Linked DNA regions of Tamandua tetradactyla. The protein of the gene in region 2 binds, or shares a complex with, the protein of the main gene of each other region. Links are inferred from orthologs where the notes say so. Each region holds a gene or a part of one and is shown on either strand. Other genes may lie near its edges. The genes, in order: FCGRT and ALB.

Region 1 (7,855 bases), on a different chromosome or scaffold from region 2:
ATAACGTTGTCTGACACAGGGAGGTCATGCCACCAACATTTGTTGGGAAGGAAACAGCTGACTCGACCTCCAGAGCTGGGGGTGGGCTTCTCAGAGGTGGCAGCGTGCAGCTGGGCACTGCGGAGGGCGCAGAAGGGGACATGTGGAGAAAAGCGGGAAGGGCCTTCCAGGCAGAAGGAACGGCCTGAGCAAAGGCTCAGAAGAAGGACATGGCTCCAAAGGGGAATGGCTCAGTCTGGAGTGTGGCTGGCATGTAGACGGTGACGGGCAGGTGGAGAGGGTCATGGAGGCTGGGAGCTGCAATCTTGTGCAGGGGTGCTGGGGGGCCCCAGGAGGGCTGTGAGCAGAGGAGGGGCCGCGTGTGGGGGAATGGGCAGCCATGGGCAGGCTGGAGGCCAGGGGTGCGGCTAGGGAGAGGATGAGGCCTGAAGTGGGGGCCGTGGGGATAGGGAGAAGGAAACAAAGGCAGCAAGATTCAGGACATCCTCACCCTTCCACTCCAGGTTTCCACGGCCCCTCTCCAGATGGCCCATGAGCCGCTGGGGACAGGAGTTGAGCAGGAAGGTTCTCTCCTTCCTGACTGCATCAGCCTGCTGATTCCACCTGTTGCTGATGGTGAGGGCCTCTGGCCATTCCCCAGACCAGGTGCCCAATTTGAGGTCGAAACTCATGAATTCCTCGCCGTTCAGGGCAAACTTGGCCGTGGGCACTGAGGTGTTGCCAGGGCCCAACTCACAGCCCAGCAGGCCCTGCAGGGTGTAGGGACCTGGGGTGCCCAAACACAGCTGAGAAGGGCCCAAAGGTCCCGGCCCCAGCCCCTCCCCCTCACACCTGGGGGTCCCGGCCCCAGCCCCTCCCCCTCACACCTGGGGGTCCAGGCCCCCAGCCCCTCCTCCCCCAGACCCCGGGGTCCCAGCCCCCAGCCACCACCCCCTCAGATGGAGGAGTCTGAGCTTCACCTCCGGTCCCCAAGGTTTGCAGGGCATCGAGAAAAAGCTTCTCCTTGTCCCTCATGTCTGTGGTCTCTGCCTCCCAATACCAGGCCACCTGGCTTTCCCAGACCCAAGCCCCGCACGGCTCCGCTTGGGCCCGCAGGCTGCTGTAGCTCAGGTACTGCTGTGGACCCAGCCAGCCTGACACCCAAAAGGCAGGGGTCCCTGGGGCAGGGGCGGTCACGGCGGTGAGGTGGTACAGGAGGGAGAGATGGCTGTCTGCGGAGAGATGGGGGGAAGAGAGAAGGGGGCACCCGTGGGGGTGAGTGGGGGGTCTAGAATGGGAGTCAGAAAACCAGACACGGAGAGAGAGAGAGATGCAGAACGGGGGCACAAAGACTCAAAGCAGGGGAGAGAAAAATCAGAGGGGGGGGTAGGGTTGCCATATTGATCAAATAAAAAGACAGGTCGTCTAGCGAAATTTGAATTCACATAAACAATAACTAATTGTTCAATATAAGTGTGGGGCATGGAATGTCAACTTAAAGTGGGTGTCTATTTTTTTCTGTACCCAGGGAAAGTTGGGAACAGAGGCTCAGTCAGAGAGAGGGGGACGGAGACCCAGGGAGAGGGGGACGCAGACCCAGAGAGAGGGGGACAGAGGCCCAGAGAGAGGGGGATGCAGACCCAGAGAGAGGGGGACGCAGACCCAGAGAGAGGGACACACCCATGGAGGAGGGGAACAAAGAGAAGGGGTGGGACGGAGGGGGGAGCGGCGGGCAGAGACCCAGAGAAGGGGCTACGTGGACCCCGAGAGAGGGGGACCGGTGCTTCCCGGTCCCACCGCCCACGGGCGGGGACGGCGGCGAGCAGAGCGCCGCGCGGGGAGGAAGTGCGCGCTGGCTGCGGACTCGCCTCCTTGGCCTCTCGGCCTCGGGCGCCCCCTCCCCGCCGCCCGCACCCGGCGGCCCAGACCCGAGCGGCCCTCACCTGCGCCCAGCGTCCCGGGCAGGAGGAGGAGCAGGAGCCCGAGATCCCAGGGCTGAGGCCGGGGAACCCCCATCCTGGAGGGCGACCTGGGGCGGGAGGAGGCGGTGACTGCTCCGACCCCCGCCCCGTCCCCCCGCGCCCGCGGGTCCTCGGCCCAGCCCGGAGCTGCCCGCAGGTTCGGGATTCGGGTCTGCGCCGGGAGGCTGACAGGTCCCTAATTAAAGCAAGTTCTCTCCCGCCGTGAACTTTCACCCGGTAATTTGATCCGCGTTGGTTAATTAATGACAGACTCTGGATTGGCTGAGATTCCCCTCTAGGAACTCGGCCCCGCCTGCGGCTCCTCCCTCAGACCCGGGAGTCCGGGCCCCCAGCCCCTCCTCCCCGGGACCCAGTGGAGCCCCAGTGCTCCCCCCATACGCACAACCCCTCCCGGGCCCAGTGAAGGGGCCCCAGCTACTCCTCCCCGGACCCAGCTGTGGGGTCCCAAGCCCTCTTTCCCCGGACCCAGCAGTGGGGCCCAGCTACTCCTCCCCGGACCCAGCAGTGGGGCCCCAGCTACTCCTCCCCGGACCCAGCAGTGGGCCCCAGCTACTCCTCCCCGGACCCAGCAGTGGGCCCCAGCTACTCCTCCCCGGACCCAGCAGTGGGCCCCAGCTACTCCTCCCCACCCAGCAGTGGAACCTAGCTACTCCTCCCCGGACCCAGCAGTGGGCCCCAGCTACTGCTCCCCGGACCCAGCAGTGGGCCCCCGCTACTGCTCCCCGGACCCAGCAGTGGGGCCCCAGCTACTCCTCCCCGGACCCAGCAGTGGGCCCCAGCTACTCCTCCCCGGACCCAGCAGTGGGCCCCAGCTACTCCTCCCCGGACCCAGCAGTGGGGCCCCAGCTACTCCTCCCCGGACCCAGCAGTGGGGCCCCAGCTACTCCTCCCCGGACCCAGCAGTGGGGCCCCAGCTACTCCTCCCCGGACCCAGCAGTGGGCCCCAGCTACTCCTCCCCACCCAGCAGTGGAACCTAGCTACTCCTCCCCGGACCCAGCAGTGGGCCCCAGCTACTGCTCCCCGGACCCAGCAGTGGGGCCCCAGCTACTGCTCCCCAGATCCAGCAGTGGGGGACCGAGCCCCTCCTCCCCGGGACCCAGCAGTGGGGGACCCAGTCTGCTCACAGCCGCCACATTCCCTTCCTGCCTGCCATCCTGGCCGCTCCCGTGACTGGAGACCCCAGTTCCTCTCTTACATCCTGTCCGGAGCCTGCTCCCCACTCCAAGAACCTCCGACCCCGCCCCCCAGCTGCGAGGCACACAACCAGGCCCGGCCCAGCCTCCCAGTGTTTGTCTCTGCCTGTCTGGAAACTCGTTGTTTGTGGTCTTTCTTTCTGTTGCTGTCTCTTTGAAGGTGTCCCCCAGCGAATTCGTGACAACCCTCAGACGAGGACTCAGCCTTACCAGAAGTCCAAAATGCGGAGGTCTCCACAGGCCCCCTTCTGACCTCTCTGTGCCCACCCTCCCCTCCAAACCCTCCGCCAGCTCCCTCTGCAATAAAATCTTTCCAGATGCCTCAATATTTCCTCCTTGGGGCCCTTCCCCCAAGTGCTCCCTAAAAGCGCTCCTACAGCTCTCCTTGACGTCCTTCTATAGGCCTTGACACCCCATGTTGCCAATATCCCTGGCCACGCCCTAGGGATGCCATCGGCCCCCACCCCCAGCCCCTGCTCTTATGCTTCCATTCACTTCTTCAAAAAACGGTGGTAACAGAAAAGTTGTCATTTTAGCCATTTGTCAGCTCTGTATTACTTTTAGAACGTTGTGCTACTAACACCACTATTTTTGACCAAACCAGAAACTCTGTCCCCCGTGACTCCCAGGGGTGTGGACCTTCCTGGCAACGTAGGACAGAATTCCTAGAATGAGCTGAGACTCAGCACCAAGGGATTGAGAAAACCTTCTCGACCAAAAGGGGGAAGAATGAAATGAGACTAAGTGTCAGTGGCTGAGAGATTCCAAACAGAGTTGAGAGGTTATCCTGGAGGTTATTCTTATGCATTAAAGTAGATATCACCTTGTTATTCAAGATGTAATGGAGAGGCTGGAGGGAAGTGCCTGAAAATGTAGAGCTGTGTTCCAGTAGCCATGTTTCTTGAAGATGATTGTATAATGATATAGCTTTCACAATGTGACTGTGTGATTGTGAAAACCTTGTGTCTGATGCTCCTTTTATCTACCTTGTCAACAGACGAGTAGAACATATGGAATAAAAATAAATAATAGGGGAACAAATGTTAAAATAAATTTAGTTAGAAATGCTAATGATCAATGAAAGGAAGGGGTAAGGGGTATGGTATGTATGAATTTTTTTTCTGTTTTCGTTTTATTTCTTTTTCTGAATAGATGCAAATGTTCTAAGAAATGATCATGATGATGAATATGCAGCTATGTGATGATACTGTGAATTACTGAACATATATGTAGAAAGGAATAATCAAAATGGGAATGTTTGTGTTTGGTGTTTTTTGGTATTTAAAAAATAATAATAAAAAAGAAAAAAGAAACTCTGTCCCCTAGAAGCAGTAATGGCCCCTTCTCTCCCTCCACCCCCTCCCCTGGGAGCCTCTTTATTACTTTTCTGTCCTATGAATTTACTTGTTCTAGAACTTTCATACAAGTGAAATCATTCAGCGTTTGTCTCCTTGCGACTGACTTACGTCACTCAATGTGCTGTCCTCCGGGGTGGCTGCAGGTATCGGCAGCTCGTTCTTTTTCACAGCTGAATGAATACTCCAGCGTCGGGACAGACTATGTAATATTGAGCCTTCCTGCGCTGATGGCATCCAGGTTGTTTCCACCTTTTGACTATTGTGAATAGGATGCTGTGAGCATCCAGTGGGTGCTTTTCGCTGAATGCCTGTTTTCAGTTCTTTGGGAGAGGGGTGCTGGGTCATCCCTCTCTGCCTTCAACTTACTGGGGCACTTCCTTTCGTCTCTGTTACTCTCTGGGGCCTCCTAGAAGATCGGCTGAGGCCCACCCCTCTGCAGCATCCTTCCTTCAAGTCCACGCATCTTAAGACAGCATCCTTAGCTCTTCCCTGAAGAACGCTGGGGGGCTGCCATGCCCCTGGCTAACCCAGCCAGGAACCCCAGGACCCAGATGCACTTCTCCTGGAAGCTTGGACAATACTCCGGGGTCCTGCTCGAGATGCCCACTCTGGGCTCCCTGGCCCCGGGGACCAGCAGTGATATTTACCGGGACTCCCTGTAAGACGCCTTGGCCCCCCTGCTGCTCACAGGGCCAGCCCTTAACCCTCAGTTGCCCCTTGTACAGATCTGAGGTACTGCCAAGATGTACCCAGATGTCCCGCTTTCAGACGACCCTGGACTCTTCTCAACGCCCCCTTGGGCCCTGGCGTAATGTCCCTATAGATGGTCTTACTACATAATGCCTTTTGGCTGTCAGAAGCATCTCCACATTCCCTTAGATGACCAGCACCGGCTCCTCCGTCGCTTCCCTATAGTAACCGCGGCTAGCGTGGACTCACGGGCCCCCCGTCCTGCCAGCCACCTGCCAGGGGCCCTAGGGTGCCTCAGGGCCTGTCCCCACGAATCTCAGGCGCCCACCCCAGGCTCCTTGAGTTCCAGGACGGCACCCCGAGACCCAGTGATACAGCCTTCGGGTCCCTCTCCCTGCCTCCCAGCTTCATTTAATCCCTTCAGTTTCTGCTGTGAAACGGAAGGAGCAAAAGGCTCCCCCAAACCGCTCCTGCCTTCCCAGGCCCTGCCTATCCAGAGCCCTGCCGGGAGAGACAGAATGGCACAGACAGACTGGGAGACAGATCGGAAGACAGGTGGGTAGGTAGATGATAGAAATATAGGAAGAAAAACACATGGAAAAATACAGATACAAAACAGACAGAAAGATAGTTGGACAGACAAACTGCTTTGGAAAAATAGAGATAACAAAACAGACTGATGGAAAAAGATAGATAGACAGACAGACAGAAACAATTAGACAGGCTCTCCAAGACCTGTCAAAATGTCCTTGGGCCCAGCAAGAAGTCCCGCCCTCCCCTAGGACCCTGCTGTCACCCCTGGCCTGCACCCTCACCCGGCTGCCTGGGCTGCTCCCTCCTCCCCTCCACAAGGGACCTAAGGGCCCATGAGAAGCGCCCCGAGGTCCTGCTGTCTCTGATGTCCCCTTTCAGAGCCCCAGGTCTTGCCCTCATAGCCCGTGGGACCCTGTAGCGGGGACCCCTGTACACCTGCAAACTCTCCGGACCCTGCCGGGACCCAGAGGCGGCCCTGAGCAAGCAGGGGCTCCCCTACCCCTCACCCCTCTTCCAGACACCTCCTCCTGCTGCCCTCTTATTACATGGGGCCCCCTGGGTAATCCAGAACAATCTCTCCTTCCCCAAATCCTTACTCTTCTCAAGCCTTTGAAGACCCTTTTGCCATGCCAGGGCAGTCACAGGTTATGAGAATCAGGGCATGGGCACCTTTTGGGGGAGCCATTACGCTGCCCCCACAATCAATCATCTAGGCAGCCCTGCCCTTGCATCGCGCGGACGCCCCCTCCTCAGCGCCCCTCCTTCCTGCTCTGTGGCCTTGAGGTTTATCCAGGGGTGCTCAGGGGTCTCCCTACCGTCCCCCCTTCCTGCTCCAAAAGAGAAAGGCCGCACAGTCCCTTCTGATGCCCACTGGGGGTCCCCTCCGTGCCTGGGGTCCTGCCCGTGCGCAGGGGCCCGTTTCGGTGCCGCTGTCGCCCCCGCGGTCCTGCAGGGCGTCCCCAGGGTCCTATCGCGGCACCCCGGGGCTTTCACTTCCGCCCCGCAGGCCCCTCTCTAGGTCCGCGGGGACCCTCCGTAACGCAACACAGAGCTCGGGGCAGCATCGGCCCCGCAGCCCGGAAACGCGGGCTCTTCCGTACGATCCGCCGGCACAGCGCGGGACCCAGCCGGCCCCCGGAGCCACCGCCCTGGTCTCCCCCAGGCCGCTGAGCCCGCTCGGCCTCGCCCCTCGCCTGCCCTGCGGCGCCCCCTGCTGGCCGCGAGACCCGCCGGCCAAGTTCAAGACCAAGTCTGCAGCCTTCCGCTAAAGAGACGTGCTCAGTCCCTCATTTGGAAACGGGAATCTTTGAAGATGTGATTAGGATGAGGCCACCGTAGATTAGGGTGGGCCCTGATTGGGTAAGATCTGGGTGCTTTTTTTTTTTTTTTAGTTTCCAAGCTGCCCAAATGCACTATACCAGAACTGGAAAAGATTTTTTTTTATTTTTTAACTTTTTTAAATTGTGAAATATAACATATATATATATATATAAGAAAGCAATAAATATCCAAGTACATTTTAACAAGTAGTTATAGAATAGATTTTAAAGTTTGGTATGGGTTACAGTTCCATGATTTTTCATTTTTTTTTCTTCTAGCTGTTCCAAGACACTGGAGACAAAAGGAAATATCAATATAACGATTCAGCAGTTATACTCATTTGTTAAATCCTAGCTTCTCTATTATACCCCTCCTTTTTTTGTGTGTGAAAAATAACCTATTTTTAAGAGCAATAAATTTCAAACTACATCATAATAGTGAGTTGTAGAATAGATTTAAGAGTTTGGTATGGGCTACAATTCTACAATTTTAAGTTTTTACTTCCTGCTGCTCTGCAGTAGTGGAGACTAAAAGAAATACAATATAATGATTCAGCACTCACACTTGTTTGTTAAACCCTACCTTCTCTGTTTAACTCCACCATCACCTTTGATCTTTCTCCCACTATTTAGGGGTATTTGGTATGCCCATTCTAACTTTTCCATGTTGGAAGGGGCTGTTGATAATATGGGGTAGGGGGATGGAACTAGCTGATGTTCTGGAGAGGCTGGGCCCTCTAGGTTTCAGGACTTATCTGGTCCAGGGATCCATCTGGAGGTTGCAGGTTTCTGGAAAGTT
Region 2 (7,909 bases):
AGGCTAGGAGAATATAAAAATCAAAGAAAGATAACCTTCTAAGTAGCAAGTGAATTCACATTAGGGAGGAAAGAGATGTCTCTTATCTGATCTGCTCCTTTTGTGAGGCCCAACTGTTTAGTACATCCCATTTAAAACTGAGGAGTAACAAAATACTAGATGTTAAGATATTGCATTAAAATATCTTTTTTATTCTAAACATTTTCCTCAAAGCATATTCCATTAAATGAATTATTTCCTAATTAACTGTTATTATGAAAGTAGTTGTAATCTCTAGGAAAACATACTCCTCTAAATAGAATTCACTAATTTTTAAAAATGGGTTTTTTTTTAATTCATATTTAGAACCATTCCATTGTATGATGTTAAAAAATTGATTCTGCTTTGAAGGAGAAGGTATACAGATGGAAAGGAAGGGGAAAGGTTCCAGTGATACCCAAGAAATTGCCCTTGCCCAGAGAAACCTACTTAGAATAAGTGGTGAGAGAAACATTGTCTCCTTATATTGAAGAACTATTTGGGGATACCAAAATTTCAAAGTTTTTTAAATGACCAAGGATCCTGCTTTTCTTATGTACATCTTTGTAAAAATACAAAGATGTCTAAAATGAGTAATCTATAGCAATACTATTATTTCACCCAAGGGGAAAAAAAACATTAGCACAGAAATCAATTGAGTACTTTCTGAAGAAAAAGAAACACACATAGATTGCGCTTACTTTTAGTCTCTATAAAAAGAAACCAAATGTCAAATTTTGAAGAGATTTTTACAAAAAACAGTTTGCCGTGAAATACACTATAATGGCTGTGTGTGTGGTATCAATAAAGAAATGTTTTTAAAGCTGTGAGTATAGCTAGAGGGCCTCTATCATTGAAGACACAAAGACTTATCAGTCTATACCTAGCATTGGATCTTGCTTTAAAATGTCCTTAGTAACCTGGTTATTTAGTAGTGATTGAGAAAACTCAGGATTATTTTAAAGCAAAAAAAAATCTTCAAAATCCGAATGTACTTACAAGTGACTTCTCACAATCTTCAGCTGACTCATCAGCAACACATGTTTTTGCAAACTCAGTTACTTCATTCACTAATTTTACATGATCTTCAAATGAGGTCTTCTGGAGAAACTGAGAAAAGGTAGCCAATGTCCTAAAACAGAAGACACAGAAAATCGAAGCATAATGTAAATTCAGTATAAATATACTAGGGAGCAGACCATGTATCTGTACATGTACTATATTTTATACATCTTTCTCAGTATTATCCAGAAAGCCAGCTCACGTTGTGTTATCTGAGACCTAACTAGGCATATCTGATTTTCTAGGCGAAGAGGGTGTGTTTAAAAATATGTGTGCATGTCGGTAGGTACGCATGCATAGAGCAAGCAAGCAAACTGTATTCTAAACAGATTGAATCATCAAGACTAGTAGCTTTACACAGGCCCTTGGAATTACTTAATATAAACAAACAAAAAACAGAAACCACATATACATGCCTCATTTATTCTATAAATGACTATAGGACGAGATCAACCTTTAAAAAATAAGCTATTCTCTCATTTTTCACTAGATTAAAAAAAATAGTAAAATGCTCTTGAGAAATCTTATATGTAAAGGAGGTTTAATTAAAATGCCAAAGGAACCCTATATTAAAGTTCTTTCCACCAGGCAGGTTATATAAGAATTCCAGAGTCGGATTGTCTCATACAGTAATCCTTAGTCACATGTGACTATTTAAAATTTTAAATTAGTTTAAACTAAATAAAATTTAAATTTTGGGGCCATGGTGTCTCAGCAGGCAAGGACACTTGCCTGCCATGCCAGAGGACCCGGGTTCGATTTCCGGTGCCTGCTCATGTAAAAAAAAAAAAATTTAATTTTGCTTCTCAGTTGTACTTGTCATACTGAAAGTGCTTGATAGGCACATGTGGCCAGTGGCTACCATGTCCGACTGCACTGATATAGAATATTTCCACCAGTACAGAAAGTTCTGCTGGGCAGTACTGTTCTAGAGCGTGGACACTGATGGCAGGGGTACCCAGGGACTCCAGAGGAGTCACCAATGCTCTGAAAAACATGAAACTTGACTCTCCAATATTTTCACTTACACGCCTCTGAAATTTTCTTCTCCCAAATCCTTGAACCGATGAGCAATCTCACTCTTGTCTAGTGGGGGAGGGGGAAGGACAACACAAGATTTGTTTAAACACAGGAGAAAACAACTATTATCATGCCACTTTTTACATTTCACTACGTTCATTTTAGGCTATTCATTTGCTTCAAAATATTGGAGTCTGATTCCTAAAGATGATAGTGAAATAGTTCTCTGCATTCAAACTGAAGAATTATTCAATCATCAATGATAATATCTGAAAAAAATCATTAATTTTTTGTTGTTTCATACTCAAACTTGGATAAAGTCCAGTGTTCTTGTAGTGTATATTAACAACTACTGAGAGGACTGTCTGAAGTGAAAATAAATGTTAAACCAAGTTCTATTTATAAAATTAAAAACAGGTTTTGATATTTTATAAAGCATGGCACAGCGGATGGGGCCTTTGGGAATTTGGAATTATGAATTCTATCTCCAATTCTATTCTGTGAGGTTTAAACCACCCTGCCTAAGGTTTTGTCACATGAAAAAGAAAATTGCTTACTAAACAACTCTTACCACTTTTTTCACCTAAAATCTTAAAAAAGGAAACATATTAATAAGAAAACCTCCTAAGGGTTCACAAATATGAAATATCATCATATCCTAAAAGTAAATGCTAAAAGAAACCTTAAGTCTTTAAAGATACAGGGTTTCCTGAACTTTCTTTTACTGACAAGATAAAATTAAGGTTGAATAATTTTAAAAAAAGAGAATTCTTACGTGTATCTCGACGAAACAAACCCTTCGAATAAGCAGAGCTGAAGAGAAAGAGAAGGGAAATAAAGGTTACCCACTTCATTGTGCCAAAGGCTTGTGGGAGTTGATAGAAGAGAAAGGTAGGACGAAGGTAGGGAAATTAACACTAATATACTTCTTTAACCAATAATTGTAGATAATTAACTAGACTTACCTTTATTTCATTGGTTCCCAACTGATTACAAAATTCATACCATCCTTGCAAAAAAAAAAAATTGTTTAACTAAATCCCTTGCGTATGTTTGCCATCTGGAACTGTTTTTTCCACAAGGCTTTGCCAATTCATTAAAGTTATATAAAACATCTTATCAAAGTTTAGGTAAGAGTCTAAATGATTTGTATGTATTTGTATGTATTATTCATTACCAAATTCTTTATCTTTGATTCCCCATTTGAACATTTTCGTTTCCAATATTTGCAAAAATTTAAGTGATTTAGCTTGGAAATAACATATATCAAAAAAGCTAAGTTCTGAATTGCATCTGTTACTAGATCCAAGTATATTTTTATCCATAAGTAATGAAAACTTAAAAACACACACACTAGAGCTCTTCCATGTCTTTTTCATCTAAAATTGTTGTCTGAAAATGCTGATGTTGCCTGAGATGCAAAATGAGAAATAGCCATAGCAGCAATAACAACCAGAATAGATATTCAGAAGTTCCACGTTTCCATCCCAACTCTGGCCCATGTGTGATTCAGGTCTTGCCACAGGACACTCAAATAAATGATGGGTATCTGTTGTGGAATTTTCAGTTAAGACATAGGAAATAAAATGAACCCAAACGGCAGTAATGGTGATCTTTGCCATAATAATAAACACAGGAGCAGGTTGAGTCCTGATTCACCTCTAGAGATATGAGAATCCCAGAGCTTCTTCACCAAGCACCATATTCCTTTCATTCCTATTTTGCACTTTTTTCCTTTCTGCCTTTTAATAAATAGAAAAATTACATTATTCTTTGTTATTTTATATTTCAAAATAAATTTAACGTGGTGATTGAAAACAATTCAAAACAATGGTAATTTTTAAAACTGCTTTTTCAAACTTCTGTCTTCATGCTCCCAATCCAAAATTCTCATCTCTCCCTCTGAAAGGCTATTTTATCTTTGCCCTGCCGTTCTAAAGGTGGAGAAACACTGGTTTCAACCAATAGGAAAATTGCCTCTCTATAACACTATGGAATCGTAATTAATATCAAACCAGTTATTTCACTTAACAAAAAACAAATCAACCAAAATTGTCAGTCCAATTTTCCCATGAAACAAATAAGCTCATGTAATAATAAATACTCAAGGGAAGCATTATTTTTCCTACTCAGTCATGATTGAAAAATAATGCACTTTCTATGATTTTCTTTTCCTTTTTTTTTCATTTTCAGTTATGAGTACTAATTAAATAATCAAGTACAGAAAAGGAGATATATAAAAGATGATATGATAGATATATAGATAGATGGATAGATAGATAGATAGACAGACAGACAGACAGACAGGCATATAGGTAAATGGGTATTTTTTATTTGGCTCAAGGGAGTACTGACTAATATTGCCAGATTTCTCTTTCAGGCCACAGATGAAAAGGAATAAAAGAATTTGTTTAATACCAAAAACATATATTGGAAAGGAAGACCAAGAAAAGAATTCTTTCTCACATAAACAATGCCAACTCCCGAGAAAAGTGAGCCTCATTTATTTGCAGCCGGTGTCCGACTCTCGTCTTTTCCTTGTGTGAGCCCTACGGAAAGCCAATTAAGCATGCAGTCCTTATCCCTGAATTTAACTGTTGCCAATTCTGAGATTCAGGCTTCATCCCTCAGACATATACTATCAGCATATTTTTTTCTTTTAACAAATGAAAAATATATATTATTCTTTCCGTCTGTATGCACTGCATATTATATTGTAATACAAAGATAAATGCAGGAAAATTTCAAATTCATCGTGATTAAATAGGAAATTGAATTGCTTTTCTTATATTTAATCAAGAGCCTATAGATTTTAACTATGAAATTTAAAATATCCAAAAGAACTTCCTTACAGTACAGCATGCTATGTATTTTTTTAATAGTAGGTGGTTGAGAAATAAAACATTTAATTCTTAAAACCCTACCTGCATGCTTAAAATTCATCTTATAAGAAACACCTTAACACTTGCATTTTTATGGATTTCCAAAGTATTCCTACATTATTCTTGAAAACCTCTGATATTAATTCTTCACGTACATACTGCTCTGAGAGGAATGAAAACACGGTCTTTGGTTTCCCTAAATATTCTGTCATGAAAAGATTTTGGCATGAGAGGAAATGCAGATATTTAAACTAAGAGTTTATAGTTTAAAGAACCTGTCTGTCTATCTATCTTCATGACTTTTGGGTCAAGTTAGTTTAAAATGATCTTTTTCGTGGAGGGGAGTTAGATTTAATTATCTTTAAGAGCCCTTCTACTTTGAACATTATGTGATTCCATGTTTCCAATTGGACAGTCTTATTGAAGGAGATAGAGGAAAGGTCCCGACTAGTACGAAATAATATATTAAGTCAGGGAGAATTGTGATCCAAATTTGAGAGCTTATTCATTTCTGAGCCATATAATGGCTACACAGGCATTACTCAATATCTATTTCAGCTTAATGTAGTTAAGAAATGAAAATGCTATATAAATGTGTCTGAACTATGAAGTAAAATGACACTTTCTATATCTTTTTATCAAGTTTTTTGAGTCCAAGGAAAAAGTAGCAAATGCTGCAACCCATGCTGATTCACTCTTCATCTACATTAACAACAAATAGTGCCTATAAATATAAATTGGCATTAATATTTATCTCTTTTCTCAGTGAAAGTTACAGATGGAAATTAAACTGAAGTGAATCCACTACTGGGAGTTTAGTGCTGATTAGTCTATTCATAGTCTTTAAACTTACCAAATGTAATTCAAGAGACACTACCTAAAAAATAAGGTTAAATTTAAATTACAAGATTAACTTTTTTAACCTCCTATAAAACAACAAAGGTTGAATAGCTAAAATATTCCTGTGTTGAAATCCAGTGGATCAAGTTTAAAATTTTTGCCCTTGATGCTTGCTAAAACTTTAATTTGTTAAATGTTTTGTATCCTCCGAGTGCCAATCTTGAGCTAAAACTTCACAAAACTCTCTCCTTAGCTGCACCTTGGAACTTAAGACTTAGAATTCTCAATTTTTTCAAGCCACTAATATGGGTTTACATAAAAAATGCATTATTTTTTCCAAAAAAGTGTTACTTTTAAGAAAAATTTCAAATAAATCATCGGCCTATATTTTTTTGAGAGAAAGAAAATCATCTCTAGCCTAATTATTATAAACTATATAATGGAAATGTTTTCAAAATTATCTTTACAATATGATTGGATATATAAGCATTTGAATTGTTAAAAATTAGTTTTTAATTGAATAGACATTGAAAAGAATAAAGTTATTTCATCAGAATAGTATTTGTGGGTTTAAGATTCTCTCAGCGAAACTAGTTCATTTAACAATAAAGTGTGGTAACAAAAACAAATACATTTAAATAGAATAAAGAACTAATTTCAGGGAAACATATAATGTTGCCAATGACATTCTCTTTCCAGAAAGTGTCCTGATCCACAATTGAAGCCTTTCTATAATATTTAGCAACAAAAATTTAAATTACTAAATAAAATACATATGATTATATTACAATCCAATTTGCAAATTAACATTTATCCAAGATATATATTGATCCATTAAAACCATACAAATTAGCCTCTCAGCATTTAATGTCTTACAAATGGCTATATTGATGAGTTCAAACTTCTCTCAGCAGTTACACTAAAAATTGGCCAAAAAAATGCACATCAGGAAATGATAGTATCTAAAAGCAAACATTGCCCTGACATCAACAAACACCACTATTTATTTAAGAACATCATTCTAGCTGACAAGGAACAATCCAGAAAGTAATGTCCCATACTTTTTTTAAAAAGTAATACCACTTGGTGTTTCATTCATGCTCAGAATGTATTGAATGCCTGCTGTGGAGTAAGCTTTTTCTAGGCTCTGAAGATACGAAAAATTAATAAGACACAATCCATAGTTTAACAGGGGACAAAGGTACGTGGAAAGATCATTATAATGCAATGTTGTATGTAGGTGTACATATGGAATACAGGGTACTCCTCTAATAATAGAGAAGTAGTGGAGGAGAAATTCTAAATCCAAAAGCAATCTCATGCATAGATAAGAGGCATGGGCTTTCACCTCTTTAGCTACCTATGTAATTTAACATACTGTGAAGCTTCAAATTTACATTCTTTGGGTACATTTTTGGTTGTGAAGAAAGCATCCTGGAGAAACGGAATGAGTAGGCAAAGATTGATGAAATAAGTATGGTAGAGAATGTGCAACCTCTCAATGTTTGCTAAAAGACCAAAATACAGAAAGAAAATAAAAAACAGTTTTGCCCCCTCCAGAAGACCTCAGAACCTCGTGCAAGAATGTCAGGAAAGAAACGAAAAGCAGAAGTGCAATTATTTGGGTTTACAAGCAAAGCTAAGGATGGAAAAGTGGAATTTGACTATGATAAGCCCCAAAGAAAATTATTGATCTTATAGAAAGCCTCAAAACTTCCATGTAGAGCAAGTTTATCTAAAATTGACAAAATATTCAGTAGATTATTTGAATATTTAGTGATGAAACACTGTTCCTGATTCAAGTGGTATTCATTTAGCAATAGCATGTGCCTTGGAATCTAAGAGGACTTTCCGGGGGACAAGACATTTTTATAAATGAGCATGAGCAATGAGGGAAGAAATTATGCTTCCCAGCAGAGGGAGCAGCATGTGCAGTTGTTTGAGAAAAGACACAACTTTCTCAAACAACTTTCTTCTTCATGAAGAAGAAAAAAAAGGAAGAAAACAGAAACCACTGAGAAAAGATAGAGAGCTGAGAAGAGATATGATAATAGAAAATGGTTTTGCATGTCTTCCTAATTGCAGAA

What was found.
Region 1: the proteins of ALB (region 2) and FCGRT are in contact, whole or in part, in a crystal structure (PDB 6QIO), measured with the Homo sapiens proteins. The link is inferred for Tamandua tetradactyla from reciprocal best matches to the Homo sapiens genes ALB and FCGRT. Residues at the interface, in NP_000468.1 of Homo sapiens: Arg105, Glu106, Thr107, Tyr108, Gly109, Glu110, Asp113, Asn133, Asn135, Gln441, Ser443, Pro445, Thr446, Glu449, Leu484, Leu487, His488, Thr491, Pro492, Val493, Tyr521, Val522, Pro523, Lys524, Thr530, Phe531, Thr532, Phe533, His534, Asp536; in NP_001129491.1 of Homo sapiens: Arg65, Glu67, Glu69, Gly72, Ala73, Val75, Trp76, Gln79, Val80, Ser81, Trp82, Trp84, Glu85, Lys86, Thr89, Arg92, Asn172, Lys173, Leu175, Thr176, Leu179, Phe180, His184, Glu188, Arg192, Gly195, Asn196, Trp199, Lys200, Glu201.

The regions. Positions count from the first base shown.
Region 1 is NC_135342.1:11,599,603-11,607,457, forward strand, and holds the start of FCGRT (IgG receptor FcRn large subunit p51), read right to left. Parts: upstream 3,210-7,855; 5' UTR 3,160-3,209; coding exon of another isoform or gene 3,158-3,159; 5' UTR 3,116-3,157; coding exon 3,087-3,115; intron 2,009-3,086; coding exon 1,923-2,008; intron 1,212-1,922; coding exon 960-1,211; intron 767-959; coding exon 491-766; intron 1-490. UniProt on the Homo sapiens protein: Cell surface receptor that transfers passive humoral immunity from the mother to the newborn. Binds to the Fc region of monomeric immunoglobulin gamma and mediates its selective uptake from milk.
Region 2 is NC_135350.1:56,005,660-56,013,568, forward strand, and holds the start of ALB (albumin), read right to left. Parts: upstream 3,023-7,909; 5' UTR 2,955-3,022; coding exon 2,876-2,954; intron 2,167-2,875; coding exon 2,109-2,166; intron 1,151-2,108; coding exon 1,018-1,150; intron 1-1,017. UniProt on the Homo sapiens protein: Binds water, Ca(2+), Na(+), K(+), fatty acids, hormones, bilirubin and drugs. Its main function is the regulation of the colloidal osmotic pressure of blood. Major zinc transporter in plasma, typically binds about 80% of all plasma zinc.